7 linked regions of the Macaca mulatta genome follow. The protein of the gene in region 3 purifies or fractionates together with the protein of the main gene of each other region. This does not show direct contact. Links are inferred from orthologs where the notes say so. Each region holds a gene or a part of one and is shown on either strand. Other genes may lie near its edges. The genes, in order: AP2A2, CDC37, EGFR, DNAJA3, ATXN10, CD44 and GAB2.

Region 1 (3,946 bases), on a different chromosome or scaffold from region 3:
CATACCTAGGAAAAAGTTTAACTTACAGATTAGGCACAATAAGAGATTAGCAGCAGCCAATAATAAAAGAGAACTGTAATCATATCCTGTAATAAAAGTTACATGAATGTGGTGTCTTTAAATATCTTATTGTACTGTGCTCACCTATTTTCAGATCACAGGTGACCAGAGGTAACTAAAACCTCAGAAGGTGAAACCACAAATAAGGGAGGACGGCTGTACTGCGCTCCCTGTGGTAGGCGCCATCCTGTCAAACGCAGGCCCTCGCACAGACAATATATCTAACAAGCGGGTGACTTGTTGTCTAAGGAAATGCCTTCCAATCTCATCGTCCTGCCTAACACAATTTTCCTCAAAAATGAAAGGACAGACATCGCAGCTAACTTAACAGTGCTCAGCCTTTGTCCCGAGGAGTCCCCTTAACAAATAATACACACACTTAGTTTTACAAAATGCATGTTAGTCTCATTACGTGACAAAGCAAGAGAAAAAATGCTACTCGTAAAAGTACTGATCTGAGGCTGTGTTTCTAAGCCTTTTTTTTTTTTTTTTTTTTTGACAAAGGTCTCACTCTGTCACCCAGGCTGGAGTACGGTGGCACGATCTCAGCTCACTGCAGCCTTGACCTCCTGAGCTCAAGTGATCTTGTCTCAGCCTCCCAAGTAGCTGGGACTATAGGTGTGTACACCAACACGCCCGGCTAATTTTCATGGTTTTTGTAGAGACAGGGTCTCACCACATTGCCCAGGCTGGTCTCAAACTTCTGGGCTCAAAAGATCCACCTGCCTTGGTCTCCCAAAGTGCTGGGACTACAGGTGTGAGCCACTGCACCCAGCTCTATGCTGGCCGGGCGCGGTGGCTCAAGCCTGTAATCCCAGCACTTTGGGAGGCCGAGACAGGTGGATCACGAGGTCAGGAGATCGAGACCATCCTGGCTAACACGGTGAAACCCCGTCTCTACTAAAAATACAAAACATTAGCCGGGCGAGGTGGCGGGCGCCTGTAGTTCCAGCTACTCGGGAGGCTGAGGCAGGAGAATGGCGTGAACCCGGGAGGCGGAGCTTGCAGTGAGCTGAGATCCGGCCATTGCACTCCAGCCTGGGCGGCAGAGCCAGACTCTGTCTCAAAAAAAAAAAAAAAAAAAAAAAGAGTAGGGGAAGGGTTAGATGGACTTCTATCCTTACACAGAGTGTGGGAGAATGACCATCCTCCTGATCCTCCACCCAGTCTAAGGAGATGAGAATTCAAAGGGAAGATCACAAAAATTCCTCAAAATATACACTAAAAATTATGAGGGTGCAGTGGCTCACGCCAGTAAACCCAGCACTTTGGGAGGCCCGAGGTAGGTGGATCACTTGAGCTCAGGAGTTCGAGACCAGCCTGGGCAACACAATGAGACCCTCATCTCTACAAAAAACACGAAAATGGTGGTGGTGCACGCTTGTAGTCCCAGCGACTCTGGAGGCTGAGGTGGTAGGATCACTTGAGCTGGGAGGCTGGGTGGGCCGTGATGGCACTACTGCGCTCCAGCCTGGGCGCCAGAGCAAGACCCTGTCTCAAAAAAAACAAAAACAAAAAACCATGAAGTCAACTATTTGCTGGATAACAAGGAAAAAAATGAACACACCAGACAGGAAATCGGCTTTGTTTCAAGAGAAGTTTCTGCACACCAAAGTCAAATTAATTTGTGGACCGGTGCACCCACCCCGCCACCCTGCACATCCTCCTAACAGGCCAAGCCTTCCTGGCTTGTTTCACGGTTTGGTGTGGATTTTTTCCACCCCGAGGGGACACGCATGGGGTTGAGAACGAGGTCTGTGATTGGAGCAGCAGGCAGCCAGGCCATCCCACACCCCGACTGCTGACTGCCTGCTCGTGTCCAGATTCCCTCCGGGAATGAGTCATTTCAATCGTCGTGGGCGAGATCTAATCAGGGGATAATAAGCCGCCAGAACCCAGCTCACAAAGCTGTTTCCTAGGAAGACACCGATTTCCAGATTTCTGCTCCCAGAGCTAAAATCCACGCCGTTTTGGAAAATGCTGGGTTAAACACTCCAGTACTAGAAAGACCGAGGTGACATCATACTGGGGAGGGGCGTCTTGGCCCGGAACCCCCTTGGCGGTGCCGCAGCCCCCCGCGCGGACCAGCAAACGGGAGTGAAGATGTGAATGAAGGACCGTACCCTAAACCCCCAGACCCTGCACCCCTAAACCCTGGACCCCCTACCCCGCACCCCAGACCCAGGGCCCCGCTCTGCATCCTGGCCCGCACCTCCAGACCCGATACCCCAAGACCCTGAGCGCAGTCCGCACCCCCAAACTCTGGACCCCCACTCCGCACCCTGGCGCGCACTCCCAGACCCGGTACCCCAAGACCCCGAGCGCCGCCCGCACCCTCAGGCCCCGGGCCCCGCCCGCATCGCAGCCTGCACCCCCGCCTCGAGCCCCCACCCCGGACCTCCGCTCCCAGACCCCGTAGCCGCCTGCGGCCCCGGCCACAGCCCCGGCCCCGCGCCCCGCGCCCCGCGCCGCCCCCGCCACTCACAGTTGCGGATATCGGAGATGAAGACGGCCAGGCCCCGCATCCCGTCCCCCTTGGACACGGCTGGCATCTTCCGGCGCTCGGGAGCGGCCTCCGCTGGCGGGCCTGGGCGGAGAAGCGCTGGGAGCGGGAAGCGGGGAGCACGGTCGCCTTCAGCGCCGCGGACAAGCCGCCGGGGAGCCGACTAACCACCGCCGCCTCAGGCTCCCAGCGCCGCTTTCTGGGCCGCCGCGCGCGCGCACGCACGACGCCCGCACTAGCACACACGCGCACGCACGCGAGCTGCGACGGACGGCGGCCGGGGCGGGTGTCGCGTGAGACAGCGCGCGCGCGTCCGCGGCGCGGGGACGAGCCGGTCGAGGCAGGCGCGGGGGCGCCCCATGCAGGCGGACGCCACGGACGGAGCCGCTGGAGCCGCGGGTTCGCGTCCCGATGCCGCGCCGGGTTGGCGCTGCCGCCCGCGTCCCCCACGGGAAGGGCGTGGATCCGGGCGGGAACTTGCGTGAGCAGGACAGCCGCCGTCTTCATTGTTGGTGGTCACTGCAAAAGAGGCGACCACGCAGGCGCACGCTGCAGCCTCGCCCTGGGCGTCGGCCCCCCTAGATTGCCCCGAGCAGGTCTCCGTTTTCCTACTTGGAATAAACAACCTGTGAGCGCTGGGCAGTGGAGGGGCTTCGCTGCCAGGGCCTTGTTTGTCCGGGGTGGGCCAGGGCCGGGAGGGCGGCGCCAGGAGGAAGCCGGGGCTCTGGGCGAAGGGGTCACAGCCTCGGGACAGCCTTTGGGGAGGAAACCCTCCCCCAGCCCAGTATCCTGAGACTGGGACTGAGCCGCCCCTTCTGCCGCCCTGAGCGGCCAGGGCCACATCTCTTGCGGTCCCCGAGCTGGGGGCCAGGCGGGCCCCGTGCCCAACCTAACCCAGGGTCTGTGTGGCAGTCCAGGCGCCCCCACCACATCACCTGGGCCTGCAGAGAAACAACCGCCCACCCCACCCCAGTGATGGCGGCCGGGGCTGCAGCTCACTGTGGAATCCAGTCCCTCAGCGCCAGGACTTTTTGCCACTGTTGCCAGGGCCCCCTCTGCTCCCCGGCCCTCTGCACCGCTGCGAGCTGGAGGCCTAGGGACCCCCCGTGGACGCAGCGGGAGGGAGGACCTTCTGGGCCAGGCTGCACAGCTCTGGGCCTAGGCCAGGAAGAGACCCCAGGGAGTGCGGAAGCACATGGCCCTGCCTCGCTGTCCTTCCCAGAGCCAGATGGCTTTGAAGAGGAAGTTCCCTCCTCCGGGAGTGGGGGGATCTGGACCCTGTACCTGGAACTGGCCCAGACCCACCAGCCAGGACTTTGCCCCACCCTGGCTCACTTGCACAACCCCAGATGAGAGCTTAGCCCTGGTGGAGCCCGGCTAGGA
Region 2 (4,051 bases), on a different chromosome or scaffold from region 3:
GAGGGGGAGGAGATGGGGACTCCTCCGCCCCTGGCCGCCCACTCGCGGGTTTGAATGAAGCGCGAGGGGGAGGGGCGGCAGCGGGAGGGCGTTTTTGTCCGATGGCCCCTCCCCCTCCATGCACTGGGGAATTCCCCCCATCTGGAGACTTTCGCTCGCTCTCTCCGGGCACCGCCTGCGACGTCGGCTCCAGGGGAGACTGGGAAGAGGCGCCCCTCACCCGAGTGGCTGGAGCTCCTCCTATCCAGCCTGACCCCCGATGGAGCACCCTTTAATCTAAAATAATCCTGGCCCGAGACTGCAACGCGGCCTATTATCCTGGTATAAAAGCGCGGATTGGGATGCGTGGAAGTGTGAGGCCAGGGCCCTGCATGCTTAGAGTAATGGAGTCCTTAGAGCCCCGGCGGAGGAAGGGTACCCCCAGACAAACGGGGAGGGACTATGCGTGACCCCAGACTGTGACGAAAAGGAAAGCCCCCTTCCACCCCTCCAAGATTCCCCCACCAAGCGCGGGACCAGGAATACGCGCCGTAGGCTAGACTCTAGCGACACCCAGCGGTCACGCGGGGTGGGGCGCCGAGACCCGTTATGGGGGGTCCGGGTGATTCCAAAGTGTGTGTGTGTGTGTGTGTGTGTGTGTGTATGTGCGCGCGCGCGAGTCCTTGCTGCTAATGGCCGGAGCTGGAGGACGAGGAGAAGGCTCCCAAGGCAGAGCCACAATCTCCCCTCTATGTTTAACCCCTCAAGGGGAGGGCCATACCACCCTCGATTTAGACACCCCCAGGGCAGGTCCAGTCCTCCTCGGGCTGAGAAAGTCCCAGGAGTCGTCAGGCGCCCCTCTCCAGAGCAGGCTTAGGTCCCCGTTTACGAAGGGCAGGGGGAGGGCCTTCCCGCCGTGTCCGTACCCCTTGCAGACGTCACTGCGGCGTAGCTGAGGGGACAGTCCTCTTAGTCTCATCAACCGTCCTCTCCCTGCCACCCCAAACGCCCACCGTGGAGAGGCGGGAGATGAGGGGGGCTAGGAGTTGAAGTGCCCACTCGTATGCCCCCAGGAGACCTAGCGGAGCCCCTGCGCCCGATAAGGTGGAGTCTCTGCGGGAACTCCAGGGGACTGGAACGCTTGCGCAAGGCCCTTTAAGGCAGAATGGGTAGCCAGTGCCGCTGCCGCGGTTACTAGGGATGTGACGTCAGGCATGGGCGGGGTTTCCCCCGCACTCGGGCGGAAGCGGAAGGGGCGGGGCTCCGCGCACCAAGTCTCCAGCGCCGCCGCCGTCGCCGCCAACCGAGCCGTAGCGGGCTGGGCCGCCAAGGCAAGATGGTGGACTACAGCGTGTGGGACCACATTGAGGTGTCTGATGATGAAGACGAGACGCACCCCAACATCGACACGGCCAGCCTCTTCCGCTGGCGGCATCAGGTAAGGCGCGCGCGCCCATCCCTTTCCCCACTCCCGGACCCCGCTCCAGAGTTGTGGTCCCCGATACTGCCTAGGGACCCCACTGTTCACACCTAGGATTCTCACCCCCTCAGTCTGGACTTTCAGGAGCCTCGATTCAACTCCAGGACCCCAGTACCACTGGTACCCTGAGTCCTTGCTCGGGATCTCCCCCCAACCCCCTGCTCCGATTTTTGCGTGGGATTCCCTATTCACCCCCTAGAACTTCTTCAGTCTGGACTCCCTTAGACGAGTCTCCCTAATTCTGTTCGGAGTTAACATTTACACCCAGAACTCTGCCTCAAAGTTTGGTCCCCAAATTCTTCTAGATGATCCCTCATCCTATTCGGGTATCCACTCCCTATCTGGGATCTCACGTCGCCCTCCCCCACCTCCGTAGTCTGGACCCCCAATACTTTGGTCTGTCCTGGGATCTACTTTCCGGGATCTTGATCCGGGGTTCCCATTCAGATCCGGAGTCGCCACTCCTTTTCTAAACGGTACAAGGAACTCTGTGCTACTCTGATATTCCTGTCCCTGCCCACACCCGGGACCCCCTTCCTAGAGTGTAGAGCCGTCCCCCTTCAGGATCCTTAGTCTCACCGAGGACTTCGGTTGTGGAACCTGGTTCCCCTCTGGATCTAACTACCAGCTCCACCCCGACAGAGCCTCACATTCCAGCCTCTCCTTTGGCCTCGGGTAGACCCATTTCCCATTAGACCAGGAAATCCTGCCCACGTGGCTTCCGGCCCAGCCAGAGCCCCTGCCCCTACTTGGTATTGCAGACCCTGTCACCACCCACCTCCCAGACTGGCTTCCTGTATGAGCCTTGGCCAGCATTGGAAACTCCCCTAACTCAAGCCCAGGACCCCAAACCCACCCCACCTTGTATCCCCAACCTGATCGCTACTCTGTGACCCAAATTGTCCCTGCTCTTTTCCAGGGACTCCTGGTCTGATTCTAAATTCACTACCCCTTCTTCTATCGGACCACAACAGAACCCCCAAATCCAGACCCCAGAATCCCAAGTCTGAGTGATCCATGTCCTACCACCCCCTCAGTGCTCACAAGCCAATGGGGTGACTAAGACTTAAAGGTTTAACCTCCTGCTACCCCAAATCACATATCAGTGTCTGTTGTACTCTTTTTTTTTTTGAGATGGAGTTTCCTTCTTGTCGCCCAGGCTGGAGTTCAGTGGCACAATCTTGGCTCACTGCAACCTCTGCTTCCCGGGTTCAAGCAATTCTCCTGCCTCAGCCTCCTGAATAGCTGGGATTACAGGCATGCGGCACCACGCCTGGCTAGTTTTGTACCTTTAGTAGAGACGGGGGTTTCTCCATGTTGGTCAGGCTGGTCTCGAACTCCTGACCTCAGGCGATCCACCCACCTCGGCCTCCCAGAGTGCTGGGATTACAGGCGTGAGCCACTGCACCCAGCCATGTTGTACTCTTAAACTAAGGGCATATACCTTTCAGAACCTTCTAGTGAGGATCTCTTACCCCACCCTCTCATAGGACAACTCCCCATCATTTATCCAAGAAACAACTAGAAGTTCCCTTCCCCATCATTTTGGAATACTCCAGAATACGGCATTAGTCTCTTTATCTAGCTCCCAGTCCCACCTCCAGACCTCTTCCTTAAATCCTGAGTCTCCTGGGTAGTGTACCTGCCAAGCAAGCCACTGGAGTGTGGGAAGAAAGTTCTAGCGCTTCTATTTCTTGCCGTGTGTAACATTTTATTATGAAATATTTAAGACTTCCACAAAGCTCCAAAGACTATTCTTGGGAAGACCTATTTCTGTCACATAAAGAGGTTAATCTTTACTACTGTGGAGAATGGTTTGGTCCTGCCGAGTGGGAGGGCCCCCCTCCTGCAGCGTAGTGTACCTGCCACACCCTCCTCCCTCTGGCACGGAGCTTTTCCTGTCCTACCGCTGAGAACCCGGTGGTTGTAGTGGCACGTAAGGGAGGCAGGGGGCTTCAGCGTCTCCAGCACAGGTTCAAGGACAGGCAAGCTTGCGTTCCAATCCTAGTCCTGCCTCTTGCTGCTTCTTTCTTTCTTTGATGTGGCAAGACTCAGGCCTCCCTGATCCCGTATGAAACCTGGGATACTATGACCCCACCTCCCTGAGACTTTTGTAAGAATAAATTAAGACTGGGCAGGAAAACTTGGGGCAGGTTTGGAAGGAAGCATTGTGGAGGGGAAGGAGAGATCGCTGTGGTTCTGAGCACAGGCCTGACTAGGTTCAAATCTCAGCTCTGTGTATCACTCACATGCTGCGTGAGTGCCAGGGAATTGTTTGATTGCTCTGTGCCTGAGCACCTGAGAATCTGAATGATGTCCACCCCATAGGGTTGTTGTAAGGGTTACCTTATTCGTTTAATATTTGTAATCCTTTTGGGGCAGTAGCTATTACCGTCATCATCATTTAAATAATTTTTGTGAATGGTTAAAAAAAACTTCCACAGCCACATGTGGGGACACATGCCTATAGTCCTAGCTACTCAGGAGGCTGAGGCAGAAGGATCATTTGAGCCCAGAAGTTCAAGTCCAGCCTGAGCAACATAGCAAGACCTTGTCTGTCTTTCTTTTTTCTTTTTTTTAATTTTGATTTGT
Region 3 (3,500 bases):
TAGAAGACTCATCCCTTCTTTGATCCCTCATGGGGTGACAGGCATGGAGCAATTAGAGCAGCTCCTTAGAGATGATGCAAGAAGACGCACGAACGCTGGGGGCACCTGTGAATATGAGCTCTCAGCTCCTCACTTTCCTTTGACCTCTGTTTCCAAAGGCCACATCTGAAGCTGGGGTCATGGGGTAAGGTCTTCCAGGAACCTGAGGAAGAAACAGCCGACAGGCTCCCTGAAGGGTATTAAGGCCAGGCTATCAATCAGGAAGACCTTCAGGGATGGAGTCCAAGCTTTGAGAACTGACGAACAGGGCTGTTAGGTGAAAATCATGGGACTTTGGGCAGCTCCTCTCCCGACCTGCCCACCATGGTCGCCAGATCCGTGGAGAGGCCAATGGCTTTGCGGCTTGTACCAGACAGAACTGTGCCTCCCTGGACAGATGAAGTGAGAACTATTTTGGGAAGTACAATCTTAAAATTAATACATTTAGCAACTAAACTTTATGGTGGATAATTAAAATATGAAGGAGAAGAAAGCTAGAATAGCTGTTGCTCTTTTATTATGTTAGCGTTTCAAACTACAAAAATACTAGAATTTAATGCTACAATGTGACTCGCTTACAACTGAGCTGCCTCATCAATCATCTGCTTCTTGACACATACGTGACAGCAGAATGTGAGTCCTGTTTCCCAGTTCTGACTGAAATATTTCTGTTTGTCCTGAGGTGAATGAATAATGGAAGTGGTTTACTGACGATACAAAATCTCAGATTCTTAGAAATGTTGCGTAGTCTTCTCACTAAGCATGTGCAGAGATGATAGCTCAAAATCCCCGTGGGGGATGCAACTTTTAGGGATCTTGCGGGATGAGCCAAGCTCATCCCCTGGCTTAGAGGGAGCAGGTTGCTCGGGCGACTGACCTCAGCCTTATGCGGACTTCAGCAGTGAAGGCGTCTGGCAGCTGTTTCCTTGATCAGGGTGCCCCTGCTGCACCTGCACTTTCCACCTCCCCTGTGGCTGAGACCTGGTCATCCTCCTGTGAGGCCTCCCTGATGAACCTTCCAGGTCTCCTCAGGCAGGACCCAACCTTCCTGCTCTGTGCTCTCACAGTGCCTGGCTGACGGGTCCTGTCTAGCATTTGTCAGGTTGTTTTAAGGTTAGCATCTTTGAGTCCATTTCCTTTGCTAAATTGTAAATTTCTCAGAATCAGGGACTATGTTTTATTTATCTTTGTACCTTTCATACCCATACCACGTTAGTATAGGTGCTTAGGGGTATTTGAGAGCATAATAGAGTGGAAATGAATATAATTTTATTTTCATTGAGACAAAAATCAAATACTTTCTTAACAAAGCTGTAGGGGCCCTGACTGATCTGGGAGTCAAAAAATACTTTAAAAGCAAAAGGAATATTTTGTATGTGTGTGTGACTGAACATAACTGTAGGCTGAAAATATTTTCTGAACCATTTCTTCCTTGATAAATTGGATGGGATAGATATTGACTAGGGGAGTTTAAAACACTGTTTACAAAGGGCTGCTGTTAACCAGTCAGGTTACAGGGCACACACAGATTAAGAAAAAAGGTGGGATCCTAACTAGCTGAGTCTTCCAATTGTAGAGAAATTATTTTAGCAAGGAACTTTTTTTCTTCTAAAACATCTGCAAATGTTGTGAAAGCATTATCAATTTCAAACCCTAGTTTCATATTTACTACCTGAATTCCACATTACTCATAATGCCACTCTCATTCGCACCTGTAAAATGTCCCGTTGTGGCCAGAGCTGTAAGTGCTTGAATAGCTGACTCAGGGCGGAGACACTTTTTGTTTGACAAAGGGTAAGGATGGGGTCTGGGGGCAGCTGACCTGGAGGGAACATATACTCTGAGTAAATAGCTTTTAAAGTGAAGTAAAAGGAGAAAATTATCTTCCATGAGGAACCCAAACTAATTTTGGGGGGTTGGGGTGATGGCTAAAGGAGATTTCAGAGCAGCTTCATTTTTGTGGTCTCCTGCTCTATGCCCCAAAGGACCTGATGCATTTCATCTGAGCCTCAAATCAGGAGATATGTTTTTGCGAGAACAAAAGCGGTGCTATCCTTAGGTATTCCACATTCTCAGCTGTGGGCTATTGGTCTGAATGCCGATGAATCCAATGTGGGCTGGAATCCGAGTTATTATTTGATGTGTCATCCTCTCTTGCTGATTCCATGACAGCAAGACAGGGGCAGCATACTGAGTTTCAAAACAATGGAATGGAAGACAAACAAGTCAGTCTAACGCTCACGACTGGAAACCACTAGTCAACCAGTGGGGAGTAAGTACCGTGGGGACATTTTTACAAAAGTAAGTCTAAGGAAGAATTCTATCCCCTCCATTTCTTTTTTGCCCAGGAAGGGACAGAGTGGCTTATCCTATTGTACCTGCCATGACTTGATACAGTACCGATCCGGCCTGCTGGGGCCATGAAGGGCTTCTTGGATCTTTAGTGTTTTGCAGTGGAAGCCTTGAAGCACAACCACTGGAATCAAGCGTCCACTGGAAGACTTGTGGCCTGTGCTCCTTGCTCACAGTTGGGCCTGGATGAACTCAGGGTGGCAAGTGCTACCAGCAAGCTTCTTCTTTGTTGGAAGAGCCCATGGAAGTAAAAATGAATAGTGACAATGAAAAACTCCAAGATCCCCAATCAATAAAAATCCTGACATATACTTTTTTTTTTTTCAAATATACTTCCTTGAAGGATAAACTTCTGCTCAAAGGGACAATATTCTTGCTGGATGCGTTTCTGTAAATGCTTCACAGTTTGAAGACAAAGGAATGCACCTGCAACTTCCCAAAATGCGCCCGAGGTGGAAGTACTTCCTGGCTGATCGGTGTAAACGTTGAGAAACCAGTCTGTGGGTCTAAGAGCTAATGTGGGCATGGCTGTTGGGATGGAGGACCCGCTGTGGCTTGGTCCTGGGTATTGACAGAGTCTGGATTTTAAGGGCTCATGCTGTCCTCCGTGGTCATGCTCCAATAAATTCACTGCTTTGTGGTGCGACCCTTAGGTATTCTGCATTTTCAGCTGTGGAGCCCTTAAAGATGCCATTTGGCTTGGCTTCCTTGGGAAAGAAGTCCTGCTGGTAGTCAGGGTTGTCCAGGCTAATTTGGTGGCTGCCTTTCTGGGCCCAATGAGCAGGGCTGTCGAATGTGCTGTTGACACAGGTGGGCTGGACAGTGTTGAGATACTCGGGGTTGCCCACTGCGGTGCTGTGGGGGTCCTGGTAGTGTGGGTCTCTGCTGGGCGCAGGGTTCAGAGGCTGATTGTGATAGACAGGATTCTGCACAGAGCCAGCGGGCCTTTTGGGAACAGACTGGTTTATGTATTCTGAAAGTGGAAAGAAATCAGAGGTGAAGTAATCAGCAAAGCACCATCCCATGCAAGATCCCCGGGTTCTGAACCCCATGAATGTCTTCAACAGGGAGATTTATGACAGGGAGCAGGAGCCTTGGGAGGACCCTCT
Region 4 (3,935 bases), on a different chromosome or scaffold from region 3:
GCCTGGGCGACAGAGCGAGACTCCGTCTCAAAAAAATAAATAAATAAAATAAAATAAAAATAAAAATAAAATAAAAATAAAAATAAGGCTGGGCACGGTGGCTCATGCCTGTAATCCCAGCACTTTGGGAGGCTGAGGTGGGCAGATCACCGGGTCAGGAAATTGAGACCATCCTGGCCAACACAGTGAAACCCCATCTCTACTAAAAATACAAAAAATTAGTCAGGCATGGTGGCGGGCACCTGTAGTCCCAGCTATTCGGGAGGCTGAGCCAGGAAAATGGCGTGAACCCAGGAGGCGGAGCTTGCAGTGAGCTGAGACAGTGCCACTGCACTCCAGCCTGGGTGACACAGCGAGACTCCGTCTCAAAAAAAAAAAAAAAAAAAAAAAGTTCATTCATTCTCTTGGCCAGGTGCAGTGGCTGATGCCTGTAATCCCAGCACTTTGGGAGGCTGAAACAAGCAAATCACTTGAGCCCAGCCTGGGTAACATGGTGAAACCCCATCTACAGAAAACTAGCTGGGTGTGGTGGTGCATGCCTATAGTCCCAGCTACTTAGGAGGCTGAGGATGGAGGATGGATTGAACCTGGAAGGTCGAGGTTGCACTGAGTTGTGATTGTGCCACTGCACTCCAGTCTGGGCAACAAGAGGCCCTGTCGTAAACAATAATTAAATAAATAAATAAATAATCATTCTCTCAACCAAACACACATCCAATCTCTTTGTTCTCTGCCATGTCCTCAGCACCCAGAACAGTGGCTGGCATACACCTGGCCTCAATTAATACCTGTGAATGAATGAATTTTCAAAGAGAAGCTCAAAGGGATTAAATAATACACCCCACTCACACACACTGGGAAAGTTCACCCCTGAAGCCCAGTCTCTTTTCTTTTTTTTTTTTGAGACGGAGTCTCACTCTGTCGCCCAGGCTGGAGTGTAGTGGCCGGATCTCAGCTCACTGCAAGCTCCACCTCCAGGGTTCACGCCATTCTCCTGCCTCAGCCTCCCGAGTAGCTGGGACTACAGGCGCCCGCCACCGCGCCCGGCTAGTTTTTTGTATTTTTTTAGTAGAGACGGGGTTTCACCGTGTTAGCCAGGATGGTCTCGATCTCCTGACCTCGTGATCCGCCCATCTCGGCCTCCCAAAGTGCTGGGATTACAGGCGTGAGCCACCGCGCCCGGCCCCCAGTCTCTTTTCTTTACATTGCATGAAGTAACCACAATTACTGATACTTTAACAACTGTCTACTATGTAAGTATTACAAACTGGATTGCAATAGGAAGTTACTTGGTATAAATTCTCAGGGCCCTTTATTAATCTTTATACATTTATACATAGCTTAAATATCATCTGCACAAATTCTGGAGGACACGAAACTAGCACAATTCAGGTACATACAATATACAGCACAAAACACACAGCATAAGAAAACATGGTTAAGCAGGGCACGGTGGTTCACGCCTGTAAACCCAGCACTTTGGGAAGCCAAGGGGGAGCAGATCACCTGAGGTCAGGAGTTTGAGACCAGCCTGGCCAACATGTAGAAACCATCTCTATAAAAGACAACAAAAATTAGCCAGGCGTGGTGACATGTGCCTGTAATCCCAGCTACTTGGGAGGCATGAGGCAGGAGAATCTCTTGAACCCAGGAGGCAGAGGTTGCAGTCAGTTGAGATCCAGCCACTGCACTCCAGCCTGGGCAACAGAGCAAGACTCTCACAAAAAAAAAAAAAAAAAAAAAAGAAAGAAAGAAAAGAAAACATGGCTAAGCACTTCAAAGCTTAACGTATAATTCAGTATCACCTCAGGCAATGAAATCAAGGCTCCACCTCTTTGTGACATTTGTAAGTGGTTTAACATCTAAGCCTCGGTATCTTTATAAAATGGAATAACAGTGCCTCTCATGTGGAAATGTGATGTAAGGGGGGAACGATGCCTGGCCAACAGTAAGTGCTCAATAAATGTCTGACTGTGTTATTATTACAATCACCAACTAAGGACTTCTAAAGATTGTTAACTGTGCCCTTGAATTAGCATCACGTGGTAGAAAGAGCATACGCTAAGACACGACAGCTATGGGTTTGAGACAACTCTTCCCGTCTAACTTCATGACCTTGGGCTGGTCGATTCCTCTGTTGAATCTCAGTTTCCCATTCTCTAAAATGGGGATGACGACAGGCATCTTGCAGGGTTTTTGTAACAAAGTACCTAGGCCTCTCCGAATGGCAGTTAGCTCTTCCCTTCCGCTACGGGCCAGAAGGTGGAGAGATGGGAAAGAAAGCGGACGAGGGAGCAGCGGCCCCCAGAAATGTTGACAGAGAGGTGAAGGTTCACGGTCTACGGGGCGTTTCATCACCGCCGCCGGAGGCTCCACGCTTCTCTCCCTTCCCTGACGGCTGAGTAGCCTCTTAGGCCTCCCCGCCTCCTGCCTGCCTGTGTCTCCGGCAATTTTGCATCCGGGTCGGAAGACACCCTCCACCCCACTACTCCCGCAGCCGCAGTCACAGCGAGGAGACTCACTCCTTTCTAGGCCCTGAAACCGCCACTCGGGAATTGGAACCTGCCCTCACCTGTGAGGCTGACACCAGGTCTCAATGTCAGCAGCGCTCTGGGGCCGCGAGAGGTCAGGGAAGACGCAAAGGCGGGGACGCTCAGCTTGCGGCTCAGCCATGCCCCCACCACGCCCTCCCTGGGTGGCCGAGCCCCTCTCCCCAGTGCAGCCGGCAGCCGCGGGGTCCCCACAGCCACCAGCAACCAGCGTGTGGAGCACCGCGCCGCCATCTTGGCCGGGGGACACTGCGCCTGCGCCGCCCGGCTCTAGGGGGCCTCGCGGGAACGGCGGGCGCGCGTTAGAGGCGCATGCGTGGCGCATGCGTGGGGGCACGCGCAGCCGCACCCAACGCGCCTTCCGGGGAGCAATCGCCAAAACGGGGTTTGCTCTGAAGAGTGTTGTTCGGTAGACTTGCCCTGCAGAACCTCGTTATTCTGTGCTAGACAATCAGTGAGTGTACGTTATCGGTGTAAGAACCTGGTTGAATGTAGCCGAACGTAACTGGTCCGAGGGTTCTGGCTAAGGGCGAGACTACAAGTCCCGGCATGCAAAGCGGCCCTCCGTCGCGCCGCTCCCACTATGCAGTGCATGGTTCCCTCTTGCTGACCCTGAGACTTACGGCGAATTGCGTGAGCTTTACTCACGTGGTCTCCGCGCGCTTCTAGTAAATCTTCGCCGCCACCCCCAAAGCCTGGCCGGAGTCTCACTTTCTCTTAGGCTGATTCCCCACCCGCCTTCTCTAACAAGACTCAGTTCTCTCCTTTTTTTTTTTTTTCCTTTGGGCACAGTCTCGCTCTGTCGCGGCTGAAGTGCAGTGGCGCGATCTCGACTCAATGCAACCTCCGCCTCCCGGGTTCAAGCAGTTCTCTGCCTCAGTCTCCCGAGTAGCTGGGATTACAGGCGCGTGCCACCACACCCGGCTAATTTTTTTGTATTTTTAGTATAGACGGGGGTTTCACCATCTTGGCCAGGCTGGTCTTGGAACTCCTGACCTCGTGATCCACCCACCTCGGCCTCCCAAAGTGCTGGGGTTACAGGCGAGAGCCACCGCGGCAACCTTAGCTCTCTCCTTAAGCATGTTAGCCTTTTCCAAACCTGCAGTGAACTTGCTGGTTCAGAATGGGAGCCGTGCTGCCCAAAAACTAAATTAGCAAAACTTGTGAGCGCCTACTGTGTGTCATGCATGTTCTAGAATATCGGGGATACAACGATGCATGATACACCATCTTTGCTCGGGAGGAGCAAACAAATGACCCGAGAGAGGCTCCTTACCAACTAATAATGTTAAATGCTATCATAGGAATAAGCACTGTTACAGGCATACAAAGTGAAGGAGTCATTCCATTTCTAAAATGGGGGAGAGGAAGTTTGGGATGTCAGGG
Region 5 (3,995 bases), on a different chromosome or scaffold from region 3:
TAAATAATGTCAGAAAAAAAGATGTATAAAGAGCTAGGAAGCTGGAGAGATGAAGAAATACTAGAGAAACCATGTAAGCTGAATCTTAAATAATTATATGAGCACTAGACAAACAAAGGTGGAAGTACATTCCAGAAAATGAAGCACCAAAATATAGCCTCAAACCAGCTGGCTTTATATATGAGTTCTACCAAATGTGGAGAAAAGATGTAATCCCTGCCTTATACAAGAAGCTTCATAAAATAGAAAAAGTTTCACTTCTGATAATGTCACACTAAGTTATTTAAAGTTATCCTCTGAATGAGAAAAACTTGTATTTTAAACCCAAATGAAATATTTCAAAAACCTCTTTGTCACCTGGTTGATCCATGCAACCAAAACATCTGACTTGGGATTAAGACAGACCCAGAATGGTGGCACATGAATGCAAAAGATGCAAATGAAAAGCATCTTTGGAAGAATGTGCCATCCTAAGCATCAAGTCATTTCTACAAATACTTCTCAAATAGAGTGAACAACACAAAAATAACTCACTCTACAGGGAAACCAGATATTATAAGAACCAGCGGAAGCAACATACAACAGAAACTGATCCACAAAAACTTAAGCTATTGGAATGAAACATGGCAATGACACAACAGATTTACTATGTTCAGAGAAATAATTTGGCCGGGCTCAGTGGGTCAGCCTGTAATCCCAGCACTTTGGGGGGCCGAGGCGGGCAGATCACAAGGTCGGGAGTTCGAGACCAGCCTGGCCAACATGGTGAAACCCCGTCTCCACTAAAAATATGAAAAATGAGCTGGGCGTGGTGGCATGCACCTGTAATCCCAGCTACTCAGGAGGCTGAGGCAGGAGAATTACTTGAACCCGAGAGGGAGAAGTTGCAGTGAGCTGAGACTGTGCCACTGCACTCCAGCCTGGGCAACAGAGTGAGACTCCATCTCAAAAAAGAAAAAAGAAATAGTTCAAAAGTCCAAGCAAGAAATTGAACTATAAAAATTGAAATAGTGTATTTATATAATAAATAAAAATTCTGGAACGGAAATGAGAAATAACACAGTAACAACTCAATTGATGTGATTAAAACAGATTAGAGAGAACCTAAAGAGAGAATAAATGAACTAGAAGATTTAGAAAGAAACTATCCAGAATGAAGAAATTAAAATACAAAAAATACAGAAGAGCTAAGAGATGGAGAAAGTAAGTGGAGAAAGTCTAACACATGTAACTGGAGTCTCAAAAGGAGAGAGAAACAGGACAGAGGCAATACATAGGATAATAGCTGAGAATCTGCCAAAACTGATGAAAGATTCCAAACCACAGATTCAAGAAGCTCAATGAACAGAAAGCAGAATACACGGAAAGAAATCTATATAGAGACACACCATGTATTCACATGCAGTGAAGTTGTGGAAAAAGACAAAGACAAAATCTGATAAGAAGCCACAGGGGAATAAAAAGACAGTTTATTTTTAAAGGAGTGAGGATTGGGTAAGCTGCATTCTCCACAGAAACACTGGAAATCAAAATAGTGGAATGCGATCTTCAATGTGCTGAAAAATAAAAATAACTGCCAACAGATCCATGCTAAAGGAAATACAAAAGAGTGTGAATTAGAGACAGAAACAATCCCAGATGGAAGATGAGAGACACAGAAAGGAATAAAGAAGACTGAGAATGGTATTTACCATCAGCTTCATCTAAATGAACATCCAATGTACAAAACAATCATAAAGCGACAATGTCTCATAGGGTTAAAAATAAAAAATTGAAATATTCATGACATGGCTCTGCTGCAAACCATCATAACACTACCTGGGACTTTTGCCTTCTGCTGTCCCAGCTTGTGCTCCCAGGCTTCTCAAAAGACCATCTCTGTAGGAACAGGCCCAGGTTTATCTCCTGCCTAAGGACCTCCTCTGCCTTACACTTGCCAGCAGCCAAGATCACGGAAAGTCAAAGGCCAGCAAAGAAAGAAAATCCATTGACAGGGAAGAAGGGAAATCCATTGAGAACAGTCTGTAAAAGCCAGAACTGTTTTTTATGAAGTGAGCTTTTGTCAAGTCAATCAGTACCAAGCAATATTTGGATATTATCGGCACTCTGTGCTCCCTCTGCCTGAACTGGGAATTCCTCTATTAGTTTTGACATTATCTGGTATTGAACCTCAATTATAAGCATCTGGTAGAAAAGTATGGAAGAGGCCGGGCGCGGTGGCTCAAGCCTGTAATCCCAGCACTTTAGGAGGCCAAGACGGGCGGATCACGAGGTCAGGAGATCGAGACCATCCTGGGGGAACACGGTGAAACCCCGTCTCTATTAAAAAAATACAAAAAACTAGCCGGGCGAGGTGGCAGGCACCTGTAGTCCCAGCTACTCGAGAGGCTGAGGCAGGAGAATGGCGTGAACCCAGGAGGCGGAGCTTGCAGTGAGCTGAGATCCAGCCACTGCACCCCAGCCTGGGCAACAGAGCAAGCTCCGTCTCAAAAAAAAAAAAAAAAAAAGAAAACTATGGAAGAGAAACTTGCAAATGCCATTCTGAATGGGGTCATTATTGAGACAGAGACAGTGGTTTAGGCCAGGGCTGTTCAAAGTGCTCTGCAGGTCATGACAAGCTTCCACTTCTGGGTAAGATGGACAAAGACCCTACTTGGTGACCCCCCACACAAATGTGCTTCATAGTAAATAGTCATAAAACCTAGATATACTACAAAGAAACAACCACCTGAAGGGCTTGAGAGTGAACAGAAGCAGACTCTGATGAGGAGTACCTGCTCACTTGGAGGAAGGGAGATGCGGAGCTATACAAGTAGGTTCACATCTCTGTAGCTTTTAGCCTGGGACGTGGATGTGCACAGCAGTGGTTGGGGGCACATGTGCAAAACTCTGCATTCTTTCTGGCCTGGGGAAGCATAAAAGTAAATGTATGAAAATATGAACACTGAAGAGAATGGGAAAAATCCCAAAAGGGAAAGAGCCAGAGAGGGTGCTGTGGTTTGATGTTTCTCCTCTCCAAAACTCATGTTGAGATTTTAATCCCCCATGTGGCAGTATTGACAGGTAGGGCCTTCAAGAGGTGATTGGGTCATGAGAGCTGTTCTCATGAATGGATTAATCTATTCACAGAATAATGGATTAATTGGTTATCGTGGCAGTGGGTCTGTGGCTTTATAAGAAGAGGAAGAGAGACCTGAGCTAGCACCCTCAGCCCCCTCACTATGTGATGTCCTGCACTGCCTTGGGACTCTGGAGAGAGTCCCCTTCAGCAAGAAGGCTCTCACCAGATGCAGCCCCTCAATTTTGAACTTTTCAGCCTCCATAACTGTAAGAAACAAATTTCTTTTCTTTAGAAATTACCCAGTTTCAGATATTCTGTTATAAGCAGCAGAAAATGGACCAAGATAGAGGGGATCCCCAAATTAATTCTATCCATATAGCTAACTGCCCACTAAATAAACCATATCATGTGGTATAGACCCAAAGTAGCTCAACTAAATACTAAAGATCTGAACTACCCCTGAAGAAACAGAGTTTTCAGCCCAAGCCCACATAAGAAAATTGTCTATGAAAACAAAGGAAACAACACTCCACAGAGGAAAACAACAGAATCCAGAATCCCCACAGCTTACTATTAATAATATCAAAATACAATCCAAAAGTTACTTGAAAAACAAATATGAAATTGCAGAACATTCTCAAGAGAAAAGAAAATCAAATCCATCCATGAGATGAACTAGATGTGAGAACTGACAGATTTTAAAGCAATGATTATAAGTAAATTAAATGAGGTAAAACAAAACATGACTTCAGTGAATAAAAACCTCAAGAGAGAAATGATCAATCTCAGCAGAGAAATAGAAATTATAAAAAAAAAAGGGCTGGACACGATGGCTCATGCCTGTAATCCCAACACTTTGGGAGGCCAAGGTGGGCAGATCACTTGAGGCCAAGAGTTCAAGACCAGCCTGGCCAACATGGCAAAACCCTGTCTC
Region 6 (3,500 bases), on a different chromosome or scaffold from region 3:
ATATATAAAAATCTCAGAGGCTATTACCCATCCTTCTTCCTGCTTGATGACCTCGTCCCATGGGATGTGAGATTGAGTCAAAGAAATCAGTCCAGGAACTGTCCTCTGGGCTTGGTGTTGTCCTTCCTTGCATTGGATGGCTGGTAAGAGCTGAGGCTGCTGAGACCATGCAGTTGGAGCAATTGTCAAAGTGTTAATGGACGCTTGGTCAGGAATACACTGATTTTATTGTTTAAAAAGACTTTATTCTCTAGACAAGACAATGAAACCATCTTCCTTGTATAGAGGGCAAGGAAGTTGCATAAACGCAAAATGTTTCAGCAGGTTTGGGTTCACTCATGCTCATTTTCTTCTTAGCAATCAGCATGTGAACTGGAGGACACAAAAGCATTAACGACTCCTGCAGTGCAGAGAGGGTGAGTTACAGACATCATAGGAAGATGAAGGAGTAGTTCTTGACCTGTGCCATGCTGCCACCGTACCCTAATGGCAGAAGTGTAAAAGCCCAAGTGCATTATGTTATTCTGAGACAACCATATTCCAGCTGAATGCACATTAGGCTGGAAGTGATCTCAGGAAAGGAATCAGGTAACAGCTTTCCATGTGATCAATATGAAAGTCAGTGCCATTTATCTCAAAAGCATGAATGGAATCCGTTAGAAGCATTACCTGACAACGGGATTTATGGCATAAATGACATATAAGAAAGCAGCACATGCCTTGCTTCATTCTGAGCCAATGAAGAAGTATAGGTAGAAAAGATTGCAACAGCATCCTCTTAGCAACAACCACACCACATAGACAGTCACAGAATCCATTGCTCTGCCAGGAATTCATTCAGACCTTGCCATGCCCCAGAAGTACATGACGCATTATCTTCTATATTGTAAATAGAAATATGGGAATATTTCTCACTGATACCAAGTGAGAATATGCATAAATGACATATAAGAAAGCAGCACATGCCTTGCTTCATTCTGAGCCAATGAGGAAGTATAGGTAGAAAAGATTGCAACAGCATCCTCTTAGCAACAACCACACCACATAGACAGTCACAGAATCCATTGCTCTGCCAGGAATTCATTCAGAACTTGCCATGCCCCAGAAGTACATGACGTATTATCTTCTATATTGCAAATAGAAATATGGGAATATTTCTCACTGATACCAAGTGAGAATATGGAATTCACATTCTTGATAAGGCAGGACACATTTCAATACTTATGTCACACAGACAAAATATCCTGCATGGGAGCTTGCAGAGCCAAGTCATCTGGTATCACTTAGAGATGATGATAAGACTTGATTCCAATTTCCACAATCTCACAGTTCAAGAATAGAGAAGATGGCTTGTTTATACTCAAGGACAAATTACCAAACAGGCATGGCCAAAAGGCCAAATGACATCAGACAGGTGTCATTTTTCACATAATGTCTGGCTCTATTTCTTCAAACACTGGAGTTCTAGCAAAATGCTTTCTCACAAGTCAGACTTTGCAGAATCACATTGTAAAGTCTGGACCCATATTCTAGAGTAGATTCCTTTGTACGACAAAAGGGGATATTTTATCAGGGCCTCCGCTACAATCTCACTAGATAATGCCCAGAACTCGGTGTGAAAGAGACATGTTCAAGGGCATGTTCTCTGTGTTTCCTGTTCTTATTCGTAACTGGCTTGTATCCATTCCTGTTCAGGTGACTTGTTATGAGCCTTTAAGGTTTGGCTCTGTGTTAACTGCAGCATAATTTATTAAGTAACCTAACATCTTGTGACAATTCCTCCAATGTCCTTTTGTTCAGTGTCCTCAATGTCTACCATTTAACCCAAAAGGAAGTTGCCATCCAAATTTACTTGTTAAACCACCCATTACCAGCTGTCCCTGTTGTCGAATGGGAGTCTTCTCTGGGTGTTTGGAGATACCCCTCATGCCATCTGTTGCCAAACCACTGTTCCTTCTGGGTAGCTGTTTCTTCAGTTGTACTACTAGGAATTGCCTGGACTGTGAGAAGAATATCAGTTGGGAGACATAATTTTCTATTTTCCTTGCCAATAGCTGTCAACGTATCTTTCTACTTTAAGGGCAGATACACATGGGAACAGAAGGTAGAAAAGAAAAGCAGCAAGGAAACAGGCCACTGATATTCTGAAAGGGATATTAGAAATAAAATGATCCAAACATTTAATTTTTCAGATGGGAACATTGTGGTCCAAAGAGGTTTTGATTTGTTCAAAACCATAGGACTAAGCAGACCATAGCTGATGAATTCTCAGAGTTCTATGAGTTATCATTATTTTTATTTTACTGTAGTGTATGGCGTCACATACCCTGTCTTAGAAAACCATTCAAAGAATAACCTCTTCGCTCCAGTCATTCTGATGAAAGGAAAATACTGTATAACAACTGACAAGATCAGCGCATTAGGAGACCGTCTCAAATGGTGGTCATGTAACCCATAATTGCACACACTGGAAATGCACCAGCAGTGGATTTGCCCAGCAGGAAAGGTGTTGGGATGGCTTGAATGCTATTTCACTAACACATTATGTGGCAATGTTCATATGGCGCCTAAAATTGCTAAAATCACTTTTTAACAAAATTAATTCAGTTGACAAAAACTATCCAAGCCAGTTTGAGGCATTATATAAATAATAGTGTGTGACAGGCTTAAAATTTCAACCATTATTTTAAAAAGGACAAAATCAACAGAATAAAATTCCATCAAGGTGCCTTCAGGAAAAGTCAGAAAGCCACCAACATTTTTAACTATAGCAACTTAAAGCAATTTTGTTTTATCAAGAAAATGAGAGCCTATTAACTTGCCAAGCCAGAGTATTTTTTTTGTAACTTGTAAAATGGTTGTATTTCATTATCTTAGAAAATGATATGTGTGATTTGGTGACGGCAATGACATTTAAAAAATAGAACAGTCCTCATTTTACCCTTACATTGGCCAAGCCATTATTGGGTTAACTGGCTATCCAGGGGGAGGGGAAAAAAGCCAGAATCTTAAGTTTTACCTACCACTGACTAAATCACTAATTCCCAACCAATAATGAAGTTAGAAAAACCACTGAATGTAATTACATAAAAAGGAATATTGACCCAAACATAGACTGCCATGTTACTCAAAGTTTAAATAAAAGAAATAAGGAAGTGTATGTGTGTGACTGCATAGAAGGACTCTATACTCCTTCTATCACTACTTTAATGAGTTTTTAAAGTACCCATAACTCTTTATTGTTTTCAGCCTAAATAGGAATGAGTTCACAAAACATATGATTTCTATTGTAAAAGATGAAGGTTGACTTTCTTCTAGAAGTTGTGATGTTAATTTGATAAAGACCAGAGGTCACCAATCAGATCCCTTTGAGTTTCGCAAATATTCATAAGAGAATTGTTACAGTTTTCACTGTCTTCTCTTTGTCAAGTTACATTCTGTCTGAATTTTCACCTACCCTCTAGTCCTAATGCACCCCAAGCACCACCTTTTGACAATAG
Region 7 (3,945 bases), on a different chromosome or scaffold from region 3:
CCCCCAACCCAATCAAGATCTGTTGGACCAAATGATGTCCAACTGCTTGAAACATCTCAGCTGCACAGAGACAGAAATGAACAAAACAGCTTTAGTCTAAGGTTGTGTGGGGCAGTGCAAGATGCTGCTTCTCCAATTCATCTGTCCACACAGCACGGTTCCCCATTGAATAAACAGGATACTATCCACTTATCAGAGAAGTTAGGGAGGACCTGCCTTTTAGTGCTGCTTGGAGAGACACTGTCAATGAGCGGGGACGTTGGGGAATTTGGACCCCAATTTCTTGTTCTTCTACACTTGACCTTGCCTTCCAATTCACTATGAAATATATTTACTAGGTTTGCTTCTTCCATTCTACAAATCATGCGAGTTTTCTATACTAAACTGTTTTCCTAGAGGCAATGTAGGAGGGACTCAGCTGGACTTTGTTTCCAGGCAATGAGAGGCTCCCAGGTTGATCCCATTAAGGCAATGCCCTCATTTTGAATAGGGGATGACTGGGACCCCTCCTCCCCCACACACCTGAATTGGAAACTTGGCTAGGCTTTGTACAAGCCCTTGCCCTTAGGCAGTCCATAAAATGGGAACAATACTGAAGACAATCCTGTAAGCCAAGAGTGCAAAGGCTCCGGCGCGTAGTAGGTCCGTCTCCTCCTCCCGCCGAGGGGCGCCAGAGTTAAGGAACTTCTTACTGGGAAGGGGTCCCTCCTTTCAGCAGGAACCTGACCCGCAGAATGGATCGGAAACGCGAGCAACCCTCGGATCCCTTCCCCGTCGACGCTCGGTGAAAAATCGATCGACGACGGAGGGCGCGCAGTCCCTTCTCCGCACGCCCGCCAGCGCCAGGGGCGCGGCCGCCTCCCCGGCCTCCGCGCCCGCAGCTTGAGGCCTCAGGAGAAAGCGAGATTCCGGGGCTCGCCGGCGGCGGTGGCTTTCTGTGTCCTGGCGGATCCCCAGCCCCGCGTCCGCGTGCGCGGCGGCCTCGGGGGCGCGGCGGGAGCGGGCGTGGCGAGCGCGCCGGCCTTCCCGCTGCAACTGCCCCCGCGGCGGCCCGGCGGAGAGTGCGGATTGCGCGCGCTCGGGGCGGGGGAGCGGGCGCGCGCGAGGCCGCCGGGCGCGCGCCGCGCCGCCTAGTCCCCGCCGGGCCGCCCGCCCCGCCCCTGGCCTCCCGCGAGCTGCGCACCGCCGGCCGCTGCCCCAGCTGCCCGAGCCCGCGCCCTAGTCCGCGCGACCCAGCGGCGGGCTCCAGGCCGGCAGCATGAGCGGCGGCGGCGGCGACGTGGTGTGCACCGGCTGGCTGAGGAAATCGCCTCCCGAGAAGAAGTTGAGGCGCTATGTGAGTGCGGGCGCGGCCGCCGAGGGGCGGGCGGGCGGGGGGCGCTCCGGGGCCTGCGGAGGGGCGGGGGGCTCCCGGAGGGGCGGCAGGCTGGGGAGCTCGGGCCCGGAGCCGCGGGGGCCGGGGGCGAGGAGCGGCCAGGGTCGTGTGGGGTACCTGCACACCTGTCACAGGTGCGCCGCCGAGGGGCGGGGCGGGGCGGGCGGCAGGTTGAGGCTGCGGCTCCTGCTCCGCCAGGCGGGCGCGGCGTCGGCGCCTCCCCAGGCGGTCTGCCCGTAAACTAAATATAGTGTCGAAGTTTGTATTGATGGCTTCTGGAGACCGAGAGAGTTGACTCTCGGGGCTGGGGCTCCGCGGCGGCCCCTAGCAGCTTCAGCTCACAGGTCCGGGAGAGGGCGGGAAAGGGGGGCGTAGGCTGTGGGCCCGCGCGGACGGCCCCACAAAGGGCGAGCGCCTCACGCCCTCTCCTTCCCTTTCTCCGCCCGCCCCTCCCGGCCGCCGGCCTCACTCCGTCCGCGGCTGCATCACCGGCAGCGTCAGCGGCATGTGCAGCCCTTGTATTAAGTGACTCATTTGTTTGTCCCCCTTCTCTCCCTTTATTCCGTTCGTCTCTCACAGGCGCCTCCCCCGACCCCGGTGTGACACTGCAGTTTGGTCCCCGTGGCTGGCCCGGGTTTGGGACCTGGCAGCTCCCGGTTGTCTGGGGTCGGGAGAGATCGAGGCTCTCGGCGCCCAGGTGTTGCCAACCCACAGTGTTTACTGACATCGCTGGAACAGCCTCTTCCCTCTAGGTGGGGAACTGGCAGTTTGGGGGAGGTGGAACGGCGTGGCGCTGAGCCGTGGAGTTCTGGCTTTTTTTTTTTTTTTTTTTTTTTAACCCCTCTCCCCAGAGGATGCCTTGCCTGGTGAGGTCAAAGTACAAGATGGTGCCAGTTACTGAGATTTTGCCGAAATGGTCCTAGGGTAGTCGCGGGAGTTTGGAAGTGGGGGTAAGGTGGCTGGAAGGTTTCAAGGTCTCTCATCTGCTCCCTCTCCTTTTCCCATGAAATGCCCTTGTTTAACGGGCTGTGGTGCCGGACTCCGGGATCACTCCCACAGCCTGGAAGGGAGCCGTTGCCTCCAGCTGCAGTGCATCAAGGGAGCTCGGAATAGACCCTGCCCTCTGTCAGCTGCACCAGTGGCTGTCCATGGGGGGAGAAGCAGAAGCCTACCAGAATTTCCTGTCTTGGCTCCCCAGATCAGAATCAAGGGACTTCTGGCCTCTGGACTGAGGAAGTGACATTCTGTTTTTCAAAGGAAGTGTTGTTGTTGCGGAGTGCAAGTGTGTGTGTCAATGAAATCAGGCTCTTACGTAGATGTTTGCTAGGAAAAAAAAAATTCTGATTTAGCACATGACTTTTGAAAGTGGACGTGGATTTATAGGAGGGATGAAGCAGTGAATTGTTCATCTCAGTTTGAAAGCTCATTTTTAGGAGTGTCTATGTAGCCAAAGTATAATTATTAAGAAATACACTTTTTTCCTCTTCAGGCTTGTATCAGTTCGTTAGGAAGGTTGAATACTTTAATTAGGATTAAGGAGCAGTGATTTACTATTAACAATTTAATAAATATTTTTAAAACTTTGTCCCAAAGAGCTTCCAAAAATTATCTTTACAAATAGATTTCCATACAAGCTAGTGGAATAGAGTGTCCACAGTAAAAAAAAAAAGAAAAAGTGACCCTTAGTTTTCAAATTTGAACACTACACTAAACCTTGAAACTTGTTTTTGAAACAATTTGCAAACAGTATGACATTGTATCTCCATTTGACTTACCGCTCCTTGAACGCTCACCCAGACTCTCTTTATGACCCATTTCTTGGGTGTTTTTGTTCCCAAACAACTTTAGTTCAAAAAAACCAGGTTTGGAGGCATTTGGGTCAAGCACCTTTTTCACTCATTTGAACGAATCTAGAATCGTGTGATGGCCTTAGCCTCTCTTTCCCATCTTCGATGCACCTTCAGCCCATCAGGTGTCAGACCTTAACAGCTTTCAGTAACAGCTTTTCTTAGGCCAGGATGTGATGTGTTCACTTACATGACTGGAAGCCTCTGCCCTTTCGAAAGTTCAGTTTCCCCCCAGTTGAAACTGCTGATCTGTGTAACCTTAAGCTTCCGGGGAACAGTATTCTTTTACGTCTACTGTTTTTGGGGGTATTAAGAATTTTTGCATCCTGTTGTAAGTTAAAACTCTGCTAGTTTGCTTATTTCAGTAGAGGCCCGAGTTCATCAGAACCAAACTTGGAAAGTATTTCCCAGCCTAATGGCTGTATATTTACCCCAAAGTAGCTGCTGCTTCTGGTATACATCATAGTCATGTTATATTGTACTGAGAAATCCTCTTTATAAGAATGCCACAAGCATATGAGATAAGGGGAAAAAGTAGTTGATGAACTAGGTTATAACTATTTAAAACGATTTTTTAAAAAACTGATTTAATTCGAAGGCTGGGCGCAGTGGTTTATGCCTGTAATCCCAGCACTTTGGGAGGCTGAGGCCGGCAGATCACTGGAGGTCAGAAATTCGAGACCAGCCTGGCCAAAACCCCGTCTCTACCATAAATACAAAAAT

What was found.
Region 1: the proteins of EGFR (region 3) and AP2A2 purify together in Homo sapiens (affinity purification with mass spectrometry; 6 studies listed by BioGRID and IntAct, with this or other methods). This does not show direct contact. The link is inferred for Macaca mulatta from reciprocal best matches to the Homo sapiens genes EGFR and AP2A2.
Region 2: the proteins of EGFR (region 3) and CDC37 purify together in Homo sapiens (affinity purification with mass spectrometry; 6 studies listed by BioGRID and IntAct, with this or other methods). This does not show direct contact. The link is inferred for Macaca mulatta from reciprocal best matches to the Homo sapiens genes EGFR and CDC37.
Region 4: the proteins of EGFR (region 3) and DNAJA3 purify together in Homo sapiens (affinity purification with mass spectrometry; 4 studies listed by BioGRID and IntAct, with this or other methods). This does not show direct contact. The link is inferred for Macaca mulatta from reciprocal best matches to the Homo sapiens genes EGFR and DNAJA3.
Region 5: the proteins of EGFR (region 3) and ATXN10 purify together in Homo sapiens (affinity purification with mass spectrometry; 3 studies listed by BioGRID and IntAct, with this or other methods). This does not show direct contact. The link is inferred for Macaca mulatta from reciprocal best matches to the Homo sapiens genes EGFR and ATXN10.
Region 6: the proteins of EGFR (region 3) and CD44 purify together in Homo sapiens (affinity purification with western blotting; 6 studies listed by BioGRID, with this or other methods). This does not show direct contact. The link is inferred for Macaca mulatta from reciprocal best matches to the Homo sapiens genes EGFR and CD44.
Region 7: the proteins of EGFR (region 3) and GAB2 purify together in Homo sapiens (co-immunoprecipitation; 3 studies listed by IntAct). This does not show direct contact. The link is inferred for Macaca mulatta from reciprocal best matches to the Homo sapiens genes EGFR and GAB2.

The regions. Positions count from the first base shown.
Region 1 is NC_133419.1:821,238-825,183, reverse strand, and holds the start of AP2A2 (AP-2 complex subunit alpha-2), read right to left. Parts: upstream 2,801-3,946; 5' UTR 2,613-2,800; coding exon 2,546-2,612; intron 1-2,545. UniProt on the Homo sapiens protein: Component of the adaptor protein complex 2 (AP-2). Adaptor protein complexes function in protein transport via transport vesicles in different membrane traffic pathways.
Region 2 is NC_133424.1:11,129,779-11,133,829, reverse strand, and holds the start of CDC37 (hsp90 co-chaperone Cdc37), read left to right. Parts: upstream 1-1,251; 5' UTR 1,252-1,315; coding exon 1,316-1,417; intron 1,418-2,599; exon of another isoform or gene 2,600-2,822; intron 2,823-4,051. UniProt on the Homo sapiens protein: Co-chaperone that binds to numerous kinases and promotes their interaction with the Hsp90 complex, resulting in stabilization and promotion of their activity. Inhibits HSP90AA1 ATPase activity.
Region 3 is NC_133408.1:73,278,915-73,282,414, forward strand, and holds part of EGFR (epidermal growth factor receptor), read right to left. Parts: intron 3,365-3,500; coding exon 3,003-3,364; 3' UTR 1-3,002. UniProt on the Homo sapiens protein: Receptor tyrosine kinase binding ligands of the EGF family and activating several signaling cascades to convert extracellular cues into appropriate cellular responses.
Region 4 is NC_133425.1:5,674,691-5,678,625, reverse strand, and holds the start of DNAJA3 (dnaJ homolog subfamily A member 3, mitochondrial), read right to left. Parts: upstream 2,801-3,935; 5' UTR 2,784-2,800; coding exon 2,573-2,783; intron 1,860-2,572; exon of another isoform or gene 1,845-1,859; coding exon of another isoform or gene 1,723-1,844; intron 1-1,722. UniProt on the Homo sapiens protein: Modulates apoptotic signal transduction or effector structures within the mitochondrial matrix. Affect cytochrome C release from the mitochondria and caspase 3 activation, but not caspase 8 activation.
Region 5 is NC_133415.1:5,818,441-5,822,435, forward strand, and holds the start of ATXN10 (ataxin-10), read right to left. Parts: upstream 2,801-3,995; 5' UTR 2,785-2,800; intron 1-2,784. UniProt on the Homo sapiens protein: May play a role in the regulation of cytokinesis. May play a role in signaling by stimulating protein glycosylation. Induces neuritogenesis by activating the Ras-MAP kinase pathway and is necessary for the survival of cerebellar neurons.
Region 6 is NC_133419.1:30,082,684-30,086,183, forward strand, and holds part of CD44 (CD44 antigen), read right to left. Parts: intron 2,001-3,500; coding exon 1,872-2,000; intron 160-1,871; coding exon 28-159; intron 1-27. UniProt on the Homo sapiens protein: Cell-surface receptor that plays a role in cell-cell interactions, cell adhesion and migration, helping them to sense and respond to changes in the tissue microenvironment.
Region 7 is NC_133419.1:78,843,459-78,847,403, reverse strand, and holds the start of GAB2 (GRB2-associated-binding protein 2), read left to right. Parts: upstream 1-1,145; 5' UTR 1,146-1,258; coding exon 1,259-1,336; intron 1,337-3,945. UniProt on the Homo sapiens protein: Adapter protein which acts downstream of several membrane receptors including cytokine, antigen, hormone, cell matrix and growth factor receptors to regulate multiple signaling pathways.